Rattus norvegicus: one gene and its partners. The protein of the gene in region 1 binds, or shares a complex with, the protein of each later gene. Links are inferred from orthologs where the notes say so. Each region holds a gene or a part of one and is shown in the gene's direction. Other genes may lie near its edges.

The links.
Region 2: the proteins of Slc3a1 (region 1) and Slc7a13 are in contact, whole or in part, in a cryo-EM structure (PDB 8WK6), measured with the Homo sapiens proteins. The link is inferred for Rattus norvegicus from reciprocal best matches to the Homo sapiens genes SLC3A1 and SLC7A13. Residues at the interface, in NP_000332.2 of Homo sapiens: Pro64, Tyr65, Ala66, Gly67, Met68, Pro69, Lys70, Leu73, Phe76, Ser77, Arg81, Tyr82, Pro85, Arg86, Leu89, Phe90, Thr93, Ser96, Val97, Leu100, Ile101, Thr104, Ile107, Ile108, Ser111, Cys114, Leu115, Glu194, Asn195, Asp202; in NP_620172.2 of Homo sapiens: Ile120, Phe123, Phe124, Pro125, Ser126, Cys127, Leu132, Pro133, Cys136, Leu137, Leu139, Ala140, Met141, Trp143, Ile147, Arg151, Lys187, Thr265, Arg267, Asp281, Arg282, Glu450, Cys454, Tyr455, Gln457, Leu458, Leu459, Phe460, Asn461, Ile462.
Region 3: the proteins of Slc3a1 (region 1) and Slc7a9 are in contact, whole or in part, in a cryo-EM structure (PDB 6LID), measured with the Homo sapiens proteins. The link is inferred for Rattus norvegicus from reciprocal best matches to the Homo sapiens genes SLC3A1 and SLC7A9. Residues at the interface, in NP_000332.2 of Homo sapiens: Pro64, Tyr65, Ala66, Gly67, Met68, Pro69, Lys70, Leu73, Phe74, Phe76, Ser77, Tyr82, Pro85, Arg86, Phe90, Thr93, Val97, Leu100, Ile101, Ala103, Thr104, Ile107, Ile108, Ser111, Cys114, His201, Asp202, Thr373, Glu374, Pro375; in NP_001119807.1 of Homo sapiens: Cys137, Phe140, Tyr141, Val142, Gly143, Cys144, Pro147, Ile149, Val150, Cys153, Leu154, Ala156, Ala157, Leu160, Phe161, Thr164, Leu168, Thr279, Thr281, Asp295, Arg296, Tyr299, Tyr343, Val346, Arg347, Lys467, Thr470, Met471, His472, Gln474.

The regions. Positions count from the first base shown.
Region 1 is NC_086024.1:15,391,920-15,396,361, reverse strand, and holds the start of Slc3a1 (amino acid transporter heavy chain SLC3A1), read left to right. Parts: upstream 1-1,612; 5' UTR 1,613-1,650; coding exon 1,651-2,071; intron 2,072-4,442. UniProt on the Homo sapiens protein: Acts as a chaperone that facilitates biogenesis and trafficking of functional transporter heteromers to the plasma membrane.
Region 2 is NC_086023.1:38,072,935-38,077,126, forward strand, and holds the start of Slc7a13 (solute carrier family 7 member 13), read left to right. Parts: upstream 1-1,363; 5' UTR 1,364-1,424; coding exon 1,425-2,115; intron 2,116-2,768; coding exon of another isoform or gene 2,769-2,954; intron 2,955-4,192. UniProt on the Homo sapiens protein: Associates with SLC3A1/rBAT to form a functional heterodimeric complex that transports anionic and neutral amino acids across the apical plasma membrane of renal epithelium.
Region 3 is NC_086019.1:97,249,760-97,253,401, forward strand, and holds part of Slc7a9 (B(0,+)-type amino acid transporter 1), read left to right. Parts: intron 1-200; coding exon 201-348; intron 349-1,138; coding exon 1,139-1,381; intron 1,382-1,832; coding exon 1,833-1,958; intron 1,959-2,343; coding exon 2,344-2,443; intron 2,444-3,642. UniProt on the Homo sapiens protein: Associates with SLC3A1 to form a functional transporter complex that mediates the electrogenic exchange between cationic amino acids and neutral amino acids, with a stoichiometry of 1:1.

The DNA.
Region 1 (4,442 bases):
ACATTGTAGTTTATGCAAGTTTCTGAGAAGGGATTCACATTTCTGTGTTTTCATGACATTAAACCAGAACAGGTCACTGGTTACACAAGATGCCCTTCAGAAGCCCCTGTGGTGTTGGGCACCCAGAGAAGACAGTGGAGTCTGAACGTCTCATGCACCCCGCACCCCACCCAACACAAGAATGATAAAAACATTTTAATTAAGAAAACACCTCCTGGGCTGGGGAGATGGCTCAGCGGCTAAGAGCACTGACTGCTCTTCCAGAGGTCCTGAGTTCAAATCCCAGCAACCACATGGTGGCTCACAACCATCTGTAATGGGATCTGATGCCCTCTTCTGGTGGGTCTGAAGACAGCTACAGTGTACTTATATATAATAAATAAATAAATCTTTAAAAAAAAAAAGAAAACACCTCCTGTCTAATCAAAGCCCTCAAGTGTGACTGATCATCTTATTTCTTGAGGCCTGGGGAATCTCTGAGGCCAGCCTTTCAACAGTTTCTGGGGACTTGCAAATGTGTTCTACACTTGTCAATGATTAAACAACTACTTAGTATGAGGATTAAGGACTGTTTGCCTGTAGTAAAACACTTGAACTTGCAAGGCTCAGCATCCCATTCCCCCACCTTTTCTGGAAGTGCTTACAAGAATGTTAAACCACATTCTTCTCTGAAATCAGGATCAAAGGCCTGAGGTTGAACTGAGCACACACATGCCTTGCTTAGTCATACACAAGGGCTGTCTGGAGTCGGCCTGAGCTGACATGAAATGAGCTTCAGCGACAAAATGCAGTCCCCTGTCTCCAGAGCTGCTGCTGTGGATCTGTAGGGGAACACCTGCAAACAAAATGGACAGCCAGCTTCTCCTTAGAAAGTTTGAGATCATTTTTCTACCTAGCTAAAGAAAGAAAATGTCAATGTTTTTCAACCATTGTGAAACAACACTATTATACCCACTTAATAACTGGCTCGGTGGCAGTGTGTCTGCATTATTGTAGTACCACAATTGTCCATCTCTAAAACTCATCAAAATCCCTAGCTAGAATTCTATTCCATTGGCCAACACTTTCCCACAGTTCCTCCTAAACCCCCAACCACTGTTCTGTTCTGTGCTTCTGTGAACATAGATTCCTTCTCTAAGTGGAACCACACAATATTTGTGTGGCTGTGGTTATTTTCCACTCAGCGTAATGCCCTTGAGGTCCATCCATCCTGTAGTGTGTGTCAGACTTGGCTTCCCTTTCAGGGAATAATTTCTCCTGTACGTCCATTTCACATTCACATGATGATGGGTGCATCTCTGGGTCACCTCCACCTTTTGTAGATTTGTGAATGGAATTACTGTAGGCAGTTGGAACTCACACAAGTAGCATCTTACGGTGTTTGGAAGCCCGCCTCTTCTCCCCAGTCTCCTCCCCCATGTACTGTTACTGTAGCTGAGTCAACCACCTGGTGTAAAGATCATTTGTGCACACACCCCCTCCCCCTGACCCCCTTTACTAAACTTTACCCTTTCTTCCTTGGCTGGACTTTGTCCAGCCAGGATTATTTATAAACCATTCAAAGCTCATTAATAAACCACAGCACCCAGCAAGCCACCTTTTCACTCTGTCCCTACTGGAAAGCACTGGGAAGAGCTGCACCGGATAGACATGAATGAGGACAAAGACAAGAGAGACTCTATCCAGATGAGTATGAAGGGATGCCGGACGAATAACGGGTTTGTCCAAAATGAAGACATCCAGGAGCAGGACCCAGACTCCAGGGACACTCCACAGTCCAACGCTGTTAGTATCCCTGCTCCAGAGGAGCCTCAACTAAAGGTGGTGCGGCCCTATGCAGGGATGCCCAAGGAGGTGCTGTTCCAGTTCTCTGGCCAGGCTCGCTACCGGGTGCCTCGGGAGATCCTCTTCTGGCTCACCGTGGTCTCCGTGTTCCTGCTCATCGGAGCCACCATAGCCATCATCATCATCTCTCCAAAATGCCTTGACTGGTGGCAGGCAGGTCCCATGTACCAGATCTACCCGAGGTCTTTTAAGGACAGTGACAAGGATGGGAATGGAGACCTGAAAGGTGGGTGTTCGGCGCTTAGGACCAGTGGAGGGTGGTTTGTGGGCCAACTCCCAGCTTCCTGGAAACCACTTTGTGCCTGGCTTGTGTGGTAAACACATTCCAGGATGGCTGGCACCCGTTCCCCTGGGAGTTCATTCAAGCACCACTCAGCAGAAGCCCGCAAGCCTTGCTCCTGATGCAAGGCTCTTTGCTGAAGGATTCAGAACCAAGGGGTTGTTTAATCTCTTGCCCACTAAACCCACGCACATATTCATTCACCCATCAATCCTAAAATCTGATTTTGTGGCTCCGTGTTTCATCTGAGACTGGCTCTCTGGGGACAGGCACAGTGTGTTCTTTAGCTGAGAGTTTATTAATAAATACATCGTGTTATACAAATGTCTGCAGAAGGGATGACTGTCTTCAAGTTTCAATCCTGAGAGATAAGAGAAGGCTAAAGGCTCACCAGTTGTTGCCTAATAAAGGGTTCTCCACAGCGGCAGCCATATTGATAGAAAAATAGAACCAAACGTTTGGATTTTTTTTAAATTAAGCTAAAAGTTCTGTATGTCATTTCTTATCCTTATAAGTGGATTATAATATATGTTCCATCAGCCATATTAAGATTGAAACTGTGCTAGACAGTGGGTGTAAACTAGATTGGCTCATGAGTCACCATGGTTTAGGACACAAGAGAGCTGGGTGCTGTCCCTCTGGCTTGTAATGCTAGCCCTGAGGAGGCTGAGGAAGATTGCCAGGGCTAAAATCAAAACAGAAAGTGGGGAGGGGGAGAGAGAGAAGGAGGGAGGAGGGGAGACAGAGACACACAGAATTATAAAAAGGGAGTGCAGTGAGAAGAAATAAACTAGGAAGGAAATTCTTTTCTTGCAATGATTATTTGTTTGAAGGAAAAACCAAGATGGTGTGGTAGAGTGAGTTTGTCTTTAAAATGTCATATGTTCAAAGCCCCCAGACTTCCTTAATGAAAGGCTTCTTTGTTTTGTACTCTGTCCTGTTTGTCCCCCTCCCACCCCTGACTTTTTCTCCACACTCTCCGTCTGGGGTGGATCCCCAGCTTTGCCCTGTGAGACAAGTTTCAGCAGCCTTTCCACTCTTAAAAATAGTTTCTCCATCTTCACTATCTGGAGAACTATGTATCTGTCCCCAGGGGCACGACTCAGAGCTGCCACCTTCTTGAGGCTTTATCTTTCACCTTCATCATGGTCCCTTGCTGCTTTGGACGTTATGCCCCTTGGCACTGCCTGCAAGCTCCTGTTTCCCCTCCTACTCAGCAAATGTTGGCAACCTCGGATTTGACAATCCAGAACCAGGGACACACTTCTGCCTCCTGGGCCTGCCTCCAGCTCGCTCCTAAGTGGCTTCCAAGTCCCCACAGACATGCAGTTTCTAGTCAGCTCTGTGTGTCTTCTGTTTTACCTTTGGAAACAGTCGCTTCCTGATATCCAGTAGGTACTGTTCCTCAAGTTCAAGGATTCTGTTATTCTGAAGAAATTGCCCCATGTTTGGTTTTAGTGTTGCCTTCTGTCTCTCCAAAGATGGGACTAGGGTCCCTCAGTCCCTTGGTGGTATGTCGTTCCCGACCCCCAGCTGCCCCAGTCTTCTCCCTTCCTTATGCTGGAGTAGCCACTCTGCTCCAGGGAACCCTGCGTCCTCAGTCCTGTGCTTGCTTGGGGTGTAAGTGGAAATATTTCTGCCGCCAGCTGTCGCCCTGAAATGCTGTAGCCAACTGGAAGGCAGCACAGCAAGCACCTGCTACAGCAGGATGGGCATATCCAGGTGCTCAGTCTCCATTCTCAACAGGGCAGCTAGGTCCTGCTGAGTGACAGAGAAACGCAGAGACTGATTCCACAGGGCCCCAGTCAGGGTTCTTGATGGGAGGCGTAGGCTGGAATAAAAGGGAAGAGAAATGCACAGCAAAGCAGTCCTGGCCAAGGTGTGGCCATCTCTCGTAGATGCCTCACTCTCCAGCTCTGGTCATCCCGGTGCTCTGCCGAGGTGCTGAGAGCTGTGAGAAATCTCTTTCCCGGAGATAAGCTCCTCCTCTGGCTGGCACCAGGCTTCAGGCTTTTTCCTCTCCCAGCAGGAGATTCTGGGGGGAAAATTCTAATCCCTGAGGGGCATCTGTTTCAATAGTCTGAAAACCAAAGAGCGTCTCTAAATGTCTCCCCTTCTGCCAGGATGCTGTTGCCAGGGTCAGGAGACTTTGTGCTTTGGTCTTCTTGACCTTCTGCTTGTTTAGATGAGGCATGCTTTAGGTAGGCTCGTGGAAACACAGAGAAAAATACTGGCTCAAGGCTTCGAATCTGCATTTAGGACCACGGTCTAGAAGCCACAGCAGGCAATCGTCCTACAGGGTTCCACATACAGAGCT
Region 2 (4,192 bases), on another chromosome or scaffold:
CAGTATTTAGTGAGGATATGCTTACTGTATCCTAGAACTGGAAGAAAGACAAAACAACCATCCTGGGTGTCTCTTTCTCTTCTTATGAAGCCACTAACCTTGTCATGGTATCCCACCTTTATGATCTCACCTAACTCTAACTTCCAATAGTTCTCTCCAATACCATTGACCTATAACTTTGGGAATTCATTTTTTTTCAGTACCTGAACAATTTTAGAGAATACATTCAAGCCATAATATTCTTTCCCAAATATGTGTCATAGTCTCAGGTAAAATACATTAATTCAATTCCAATAATCTCCAAGTATCAGTCCATTTAGCACCAACTCAAAAGATTGATCATCTGACTTGAATATGGGTCAGATTTAAGTCCTGCACCATCCTGGGAAAAATTCACTGCAGTTTTGAAAGTATGAAATGAAAGAAAAATCTACTTCCAAAATGCAGTGTTGGGATAGACATAGGACAGAAGAATTAATTCAAAGGGGACAATAGGCAAGTACAAAGGAAACTGTCACCAGTCACACTCAAAACCAAACAGAACACATGAAGTTTTAAGCCTGGAGAAGCACTTCCTTGACTCCCATCTTACCTCCAAGGTGTAGTGATCCTGTTTGCATAGCTACATTAGACAATTTTCCCATGGGGTCACACTTCATTTTTGATTTCTTGATGAAAATTTCAGCCACACTTGGGGAAGCCAGCAATGCTGTGCCTTGAATTGATCCTTGTGTGTCAGCCTCCTGAGTGGCTGAGACTATAGGCACTCTACGTCTTGATTCCCTGAAAATGCTCTGTATTCTCCAACATACTTTCATTCTGCTTCCTTCCTAATCTCCTCTCTTATCTCACTGCAAAACATTGAAATCTGGGTATGGTGATGTATGCTGGTGAGGCAGAAGTAATGTGTAGGTTTAGTCCTGCCTTGTGTATAAGGCAAGGTCCAGGGCAGCCAGGGTTATATTGCAAGACCCAGTCACAGACAGACAGATAAATACCCACAGAAAAGCCCACTTGTTTCCCAGTTTTGAAATTTCTTCCACCTCGTATCTTTCTTGTGACTTTTCAGTTGTCCACCTAATCTTGGCAATTGTCCGTGGATGCAGTGAACACAGCACAGACAAGTTCTTAGCAACTTTAACAAGAACACTCTTTATTCCCGTTTCCTAACCTTGATTCCTTTAAAATTCCCTTTTCAATTGAAATGCCTGATTCTGATAATTATTAAAAGAAAGGTCAGACTAAGTCCTTACAGGTAACCAACCCATTTTATTTCACTTAAATGTGTCACACCTACTTTGTTAATTATTGAACATAGATCATATTTAATAGAGGTGGAATAAGAAGAGAGCTGTACATTCAGAGCATCTATATAGGTAGAAACATTCACAGACTAGAATTTTGTTGAGCGTAAACTACTCTCAATGGCAATGGATATAGAGAAGAAAATATATCTCAAGAGACAACTTGGATATTTCTGGGGGACAAATTTTTTAATTATCAATATAATTGGTGCAGGGATATTTGTGTCCCCCAAGGGAGTGCTACAGTACTCTTCCATGAATGTGGGAGTCTCCTTGTGTGTTTGGGTTTTCTGTGCAGTGCTGTCCATGACCAGTACTCTCTGTGCTGCAGAGATTGGAATAACCTTCCCATACACGGTGGCTCACTACTATTTTTTAAAGAGATGCTTTGGCCCTTTTGTGGCATTCCTAAGACTTTGGACTTCCTTGTTTACGGGCCCAGGCGTACTGGCTAGTCAAGCTCTGCTACTCGCCGAGTATGGCATTCAGCCTTTCTATCCCAGCTGCTCTGCCCCGGCTGTACCAAAAAAATGTCTGGCCCTGGCGATGCTGTGGATTGTGGGAATTCTGAATTCTCGTGGTGTGAAAGAGCTGTCATGGCTTCAGACAGTGAGCATGGTGCTGAAGATGGGTATACTTAGCTTCATTTCCCTCAGCGGCTTGTTCTTGCTGGTGACAGGGAGGAAGGAGAACGTGCGAAGGCTTCAGAATGCTTTTGATGCCGAGTTTCCAGAGGTCTCTCGGTTGATAGAAGCTATCTTCCAAGGATACTTCGCATTTTCTGGCGGAGGAAGTTTTACATACGTAGCAGGTAATTATTAATCTGGAGGGGGGGGGGAGAAAACATGGCTGATATGTTGTATGTGAAGTGAGAATCTTTCATTATGCATTGACTATCATCTTAGCGATTTTATCAAACTCTATAGCGATCTTCATTCATTAAGTTCCTAAATCACCTATTCTTAATTTTTCTCCCCATTCAATTCATTTCAAACTAACATGAAAACAAACAAAACCCTTCTCTTTTTCATCTTAATTTTTCTGGGACCAGAAATATGAGACCTCCTGATTTAATGCACTTTTTCTTTCTGTTAATGCATAAATGCTCAGAGGGTGCAAAAAACTCAGTCCTGTGAAACTGTGGATCCAGGAATGTCGTAAAGCCAGACTGGGTTGTGTTGCAAGTGGCTGCACTCTTCGGCTCTTCACTGATTTCATTTATTTAGTTTTGGAATCGTGTTTTTTAATTATAAAAATTTCTTCTTCCATGGATGAATGTGTTGCTAAAGGTTCATACGAAATTACATTTGGGAGATGGGGTGGGGTCATACACAGCTCAATATTAGAGCATTTACTTAACATGCTTGAGGCTCTGGGTTTGATTCCTAGGACAAGAAAAAAGTTTTGGATTATTGCCAGTACCAACGGTCATCTGAGAGAGGTTTCCTTTTCCTCACCCCTCAGCCTGGCCCTCCTGGACACATGAAGTGGACGCGCTCCTACAGCTTCAAGACCTTTCCTTACCATGGCAGCTGTGCGCTGCTGTAGCCCTTTCTTGTGGGGCATTGCTTCCTTGTTCGCCTCAGGGCATTGCTTCCTTGTTCGCCTCAGGGCAGGGGCTTTGCTTTGCACCTGTACTAGGTCCTTTAGGTATTTTTTTTTTTAAACATAAGAGAATCATGAATCATAGCTGTCTTGACAGCTCTCAGGCAACACTTAATACCTCCCTTTCTTTTCTTTTTCTTTCTTTTTTCTTTTTTTTAACTTTCTTTATTAGATATTTTATTACATTTCAAATGTTATCCCCTTTCCCGGTTGCCCCTCTCTCCCATCCCCCTTCCCCTGCTTCTATGAGGATGCTCCCCTTCCAACCCAGAATTGCTCCTGTCTAAAGGAAATACAGGAACAAAAAGTAGAGCAGAGATTGAAGGAAAGGCCATCCAGAGACTGCACCACCTGGGGATCCATCCCATATGTAGCCACCAAATCCAGACACTATTGAGGATGCCAAGGCGTGCTTGCTGACAGGAGCCAGATGTAGCTGTCTCCTGAGAGGCTGTGCTAGAGACTGACCAATACAGATGTGGATGCTTGCAGCCAATCATCAGACTGAGCATGGAGACCCCAATGGAGGAGTTAGGGGAAGGACTGTAGGAGCTGAAGGGGTTTGCAAACCCCTAGAAAGAACAACATCAACCAATCAGACCCCCCAGAGCTCCCAGGGACTAAACCATCAATCAGAGAGTACATTTGGAGGGACCCATGGCTACAGCTGCATATGTAGCAGGCAGCAATGGTAGGGGAAGCCCTTGGTCCTGTGAAGGCTCGTTTTGCTGGTGTAGGGGAATGCCAGGGTGGCAAGGCAGGAGTGGGTAGGTAGATGAGTGCCCTCATAGAAGCAGGAGGGGGAATGGGATAGGGGGATTGTGGAAGGAAACCAGTAAAGGGAATAACATTTGAAATGTAAATAAATAAAATATCCAATAAAAATACATTTAAAAAAGTTAGTTTATATTGGGTCCAAAAGTGAGGAATGAAGAAAAAAAGACTCGAATAATTCTTTCGAAGTTTGCGACTTAAAGAGAGTCTTTATGTCTGTGAGTGTGTGAGTGTATGTGTGTGTGGTGTGTGTGTGTGTGTGTGTGTGTGTGTGTGTGCATCGTGTGCATGTGCACTTGTGTGCACACACCTCAGAAGAATGTACTTTGAAGTAATTTAATCTTGTTCTGCTGCTGGAGATGCATCATTTTCATGTAATTATTTCTGATTAAGAAAGATCTAGAACAGTTAATAATCTTTAAACTAATACAGAATTTCTCTCAAATGGCTGATGGTCAACAAACAGTTGAGGATGTTTCAATATGTCCTGTCCCTATACTCCATAAAAC
Region 3 (3,642 bases), on another chromosome or scaffold:
AGGCTGTGCCAAAGCACAGGGCAGTTCTGATGCCTCAGCGTAAGGCACGGGCCTGGTGCTCCCATGGCAGCAGCACAGGGCGGACATGCCTGGGGCATGAGTCAGCTTGGGTTCTTCTGGCCTCACTGGGGTTGGGGGAATTTATCTCTGGCCCTGTGAACGCCCAGCTGGTAGAATTAGTTCTCTTCTTGCACATGCAGGTGGGTCTTCTCAGTGGTATCTGTATCATTGTGGGCACCATCATCGGCTCCGGGATCTTCATCTCCCCCAAGTCTGTGCTGGCCAACACAGAATCCGTGGGGCCCTGTCTCATCATATGGGCAGCCTGTGGAGTCCTGGCTACACTGGGTAATAGAGGCGACAAGCCACGCAAGCACAGGGTCTCATTTGGTAGCCCAGGCTGGTCTCAAGCTGTGGTATGCCTGTTGTGGGATGTAGCCGTGGTTCCGAGTCCTTCTTCTCAGGGTGTTTAGACACCAGGCTGGAAGGATGAAGCGGTGTCTGAAATGGGTAGGGTTCTGCGGGATCCAGATGAGGCTGGGAGTGTCGGTGTGTCTGTGTGTGTGTGTGTGTGGGGTATTCCCTGAGGATCTTAGCGCTACAGCTCTTCTAGATGAAGGCCTTCTCTGACAGTCACCAGTGAAACAGCTCTCTCAGAGGATCTTAGCTTGTATGCATACCTTTATTCTGGGTTGGTTTGTACACATCCATTTTATTCAGGGTGAACTAGGGATATATACGGACCTTTGGAGAATGGGAAGAGGTTCTTCTTAGGGTGAAGTTTCATTGGCTGGACTTAAAGGTACTAGGAACACCTCCTTTGCATGGAGAGGTGTTCCAGGAATCCCACGTACTTGCTTGGGGATTGAACTTGTAGTGCTAAGGACTATTCGACCTTCCCCATCTAGAGGCTAGGGCTCCCCAGAAAAGGTCCTAAGAGTTGGGATTATAGACTTGTACCACCATGCCCAGCTGGCTTCCTTTTGCAGTGGGTGTGTGGTAAATAAGGGTGAATCTGCTTGCAGTTAAAGGTCCAGCAGCTAGGACTGGGCTATTCAGACTGTGAGCCCCCAAAGGAGGAAGGTTCTGTGGATTAGGATGGGACCTCATAAGGAGTGGGCTCCCTCCTGTGTTCCAGGCGCCCTGTGCTTTGCAGAGCTTGGCACAATGATCACCAAGTCAGGGGGTGAGTACCCCTATCTGATGGAGGCCTTCGGCCCCATCCCTGCCTACCTCTTCTCCTGGACCAGCCTGATTGTCATGAAGCCCTCATCCTTCGCCATCATCTGCCTCAGCTTTTCAGAGTATGTGTGTGCGGCCTTTTACTTAGGCTGCAGGCCTCCTGCTGTGGTAGTGAAACTCCTGGCTGCTGCTGCCATCTGTGAGTTACCAGCCAGGGTGGGGGGATGGGAGGGGAGACAGGGAAGGCCCGAGTTGTTGACATCTTCGGAATCTAGTCTTGGCTCTTCCTTACTTAGCACAGCAGGCCTGCAGGGCCTGGTGAAACAGGCCCAGGTTGGCCATCCCAGCAGGTGGTGGGCAAACCCCCAGGCCTGTGGGAGCTGCCGGAAGGGGGTTATCCTGGAGCTGCAGGAAGGGGGCTATCCTGGGTTTTCCTTGTTCAGGGCCTGGCTGCTTCTCCTTCACAGTCTGAGATTGGGCTTGATTTTGAGTGTCAACATTGGTGTATCTTAAAGTTGCTAAAGCCAGTTTATTTAATTCTACTCCCTTTATTGAGGGTCTGGGGGTGGTGGGGGAATAGAAAAGAAGGGCTTTCCAGGACCTTGGGAAGAACGATGAATACAGAATGTTACCCGACTTGCGCCTTCCAGTGCTTATCACTACAGTGAATGCGCTGAGCGTGCGGCTTGGCAGCTATGTGCAGAATGTCTTCACGGCAGCCAAGCTGGTGATCGTCGCCATCATCATCATCAGCGGACTGGTCCTCCTGGCGCAAGGTGAGGTGTGGCAGGATGGGAGAGCAGGCCCCGCCTGGCATGTGACTTCCTGTCTTCTAGAGCAGTCTTGCCCACGAGCACGTGTGTTTTATGGTTTATGTATTTGTGCTTGCTTGTTGGCATTGATGATTGATCTATTGACTGATTGATTGATTGATTGATTGATTGACACAGGAACTTATCATATAGCCTAGGCTTGTCTCTAACTTACGATGCTCCTGCCTCAGTATCCTGAGTGCTGGGATGACAGACATGTCCTATCACGTGAAGTTTCGGTTCCTTTAATAAATGGGTCAGGAGTCATACCCTTCTTCCGGTAGAGAGGGGAATGAAGTCAGTGTCTGGCTAGCTGACATTCCCGCTTCACTGTCTGGCTTAATTTCAGGAAATGTTAAGAACTTTCAGAATTCTTTTGAGGGTTCACAGACCTCTGTGGGCTCCATCAGCCTGGCATTTTACAACGGACTCTGGGCCTACGATGGGTGGTAAGCGCTCCTGAAACACTCCCAGTCCACTGGTGGGGTCTTTACGAAGCTTCAGTTTCAGCTGCTATGGAGAGCAAAGATGTCACCTTTCCGGGGTACAGCATCTTTAGCTTTACCTTCACATGAAATGCTCAAACCCTGACCTTCCCACATCCCTGGGACACCATAGATGAGATCATGGGGCCACATGATCACCTTAACCCTTTCCCAGCCCGGAATTGGCTCCGGCCCCTGACAGTGCCCGGTGAGGGTGTCGTTGGTGAAGCTCTGTGTACCTGGAGAATTCCATCTGAGCTGCATAGAGGCAGCACAGGCTGCCCAAACACCTGACAAGACCAAGGATTTTCAATGGTACTAGCCCGGCAGTCCTGCAGACATTAGATGGACTGTGCTGTGTCCCTCAAGGCAGAAGCATGGCCGTGGTGATGCTGGCCTCCCCGTTACCACTGGTACAGGGTTCATCCTTCTTCCAACCTCTTTCCAGATTTTCAAAGTACCCTGAATATTCTTGGAAATTCACATGATTTCCACAGAGGTCAGAGACTTAACCCAGTATCAGACAGCTAGCACTTGGAAGTTGCAAGGAAGACTTGTCACCACCAGGACCTAGGGAGCAGAAGTTACCCTGCACTGGTGTGAAAGCTCTTTTTGGCCTTTTGTTTTTCTGTCAGCACTCCTTGCATTGTTTTATTTTTACTGTTGAGGATGGAACCTAGGGCTCTGTATATGCTAAGAAAGCATTCTATTGCTGAGCCTCACCCCCCACCCCTCACTGGGGGATTCTAGGCAGGGGCTCTACCACTGAGCCACGCCCCCAGCCCCTCACTGGGGGATTCTAGGCAGGAACTCTACCACTGAGCCATGCCCCCAGCCCCTCCCTGGGGGATCCTAGGCAGGGGCTCTACCACTGAGCCATGCCCCCAGCCCCTCCCTGGGGGATCCTAGGCAGGGGCTCTACCACTGAGCCACGCCCCCAGCCCCTCACTGGGGGATTCTAGGCAGGGCTCTACCACTGAGCCACGCCCCCAGCCCCTCACTGGGGGATTCTAGGCAGGGGCTCTACCACTGAGCCACACTCCCAGCCCCTCACTGGGGGTTTTTAGGTAGACACTGATGCTGAGTTATGTGTCCTACAGTAGAAATCTTAAAATGAATCAACATTTATCATTGCTCCACAAACTTAGCCAAGAGAGTCATGT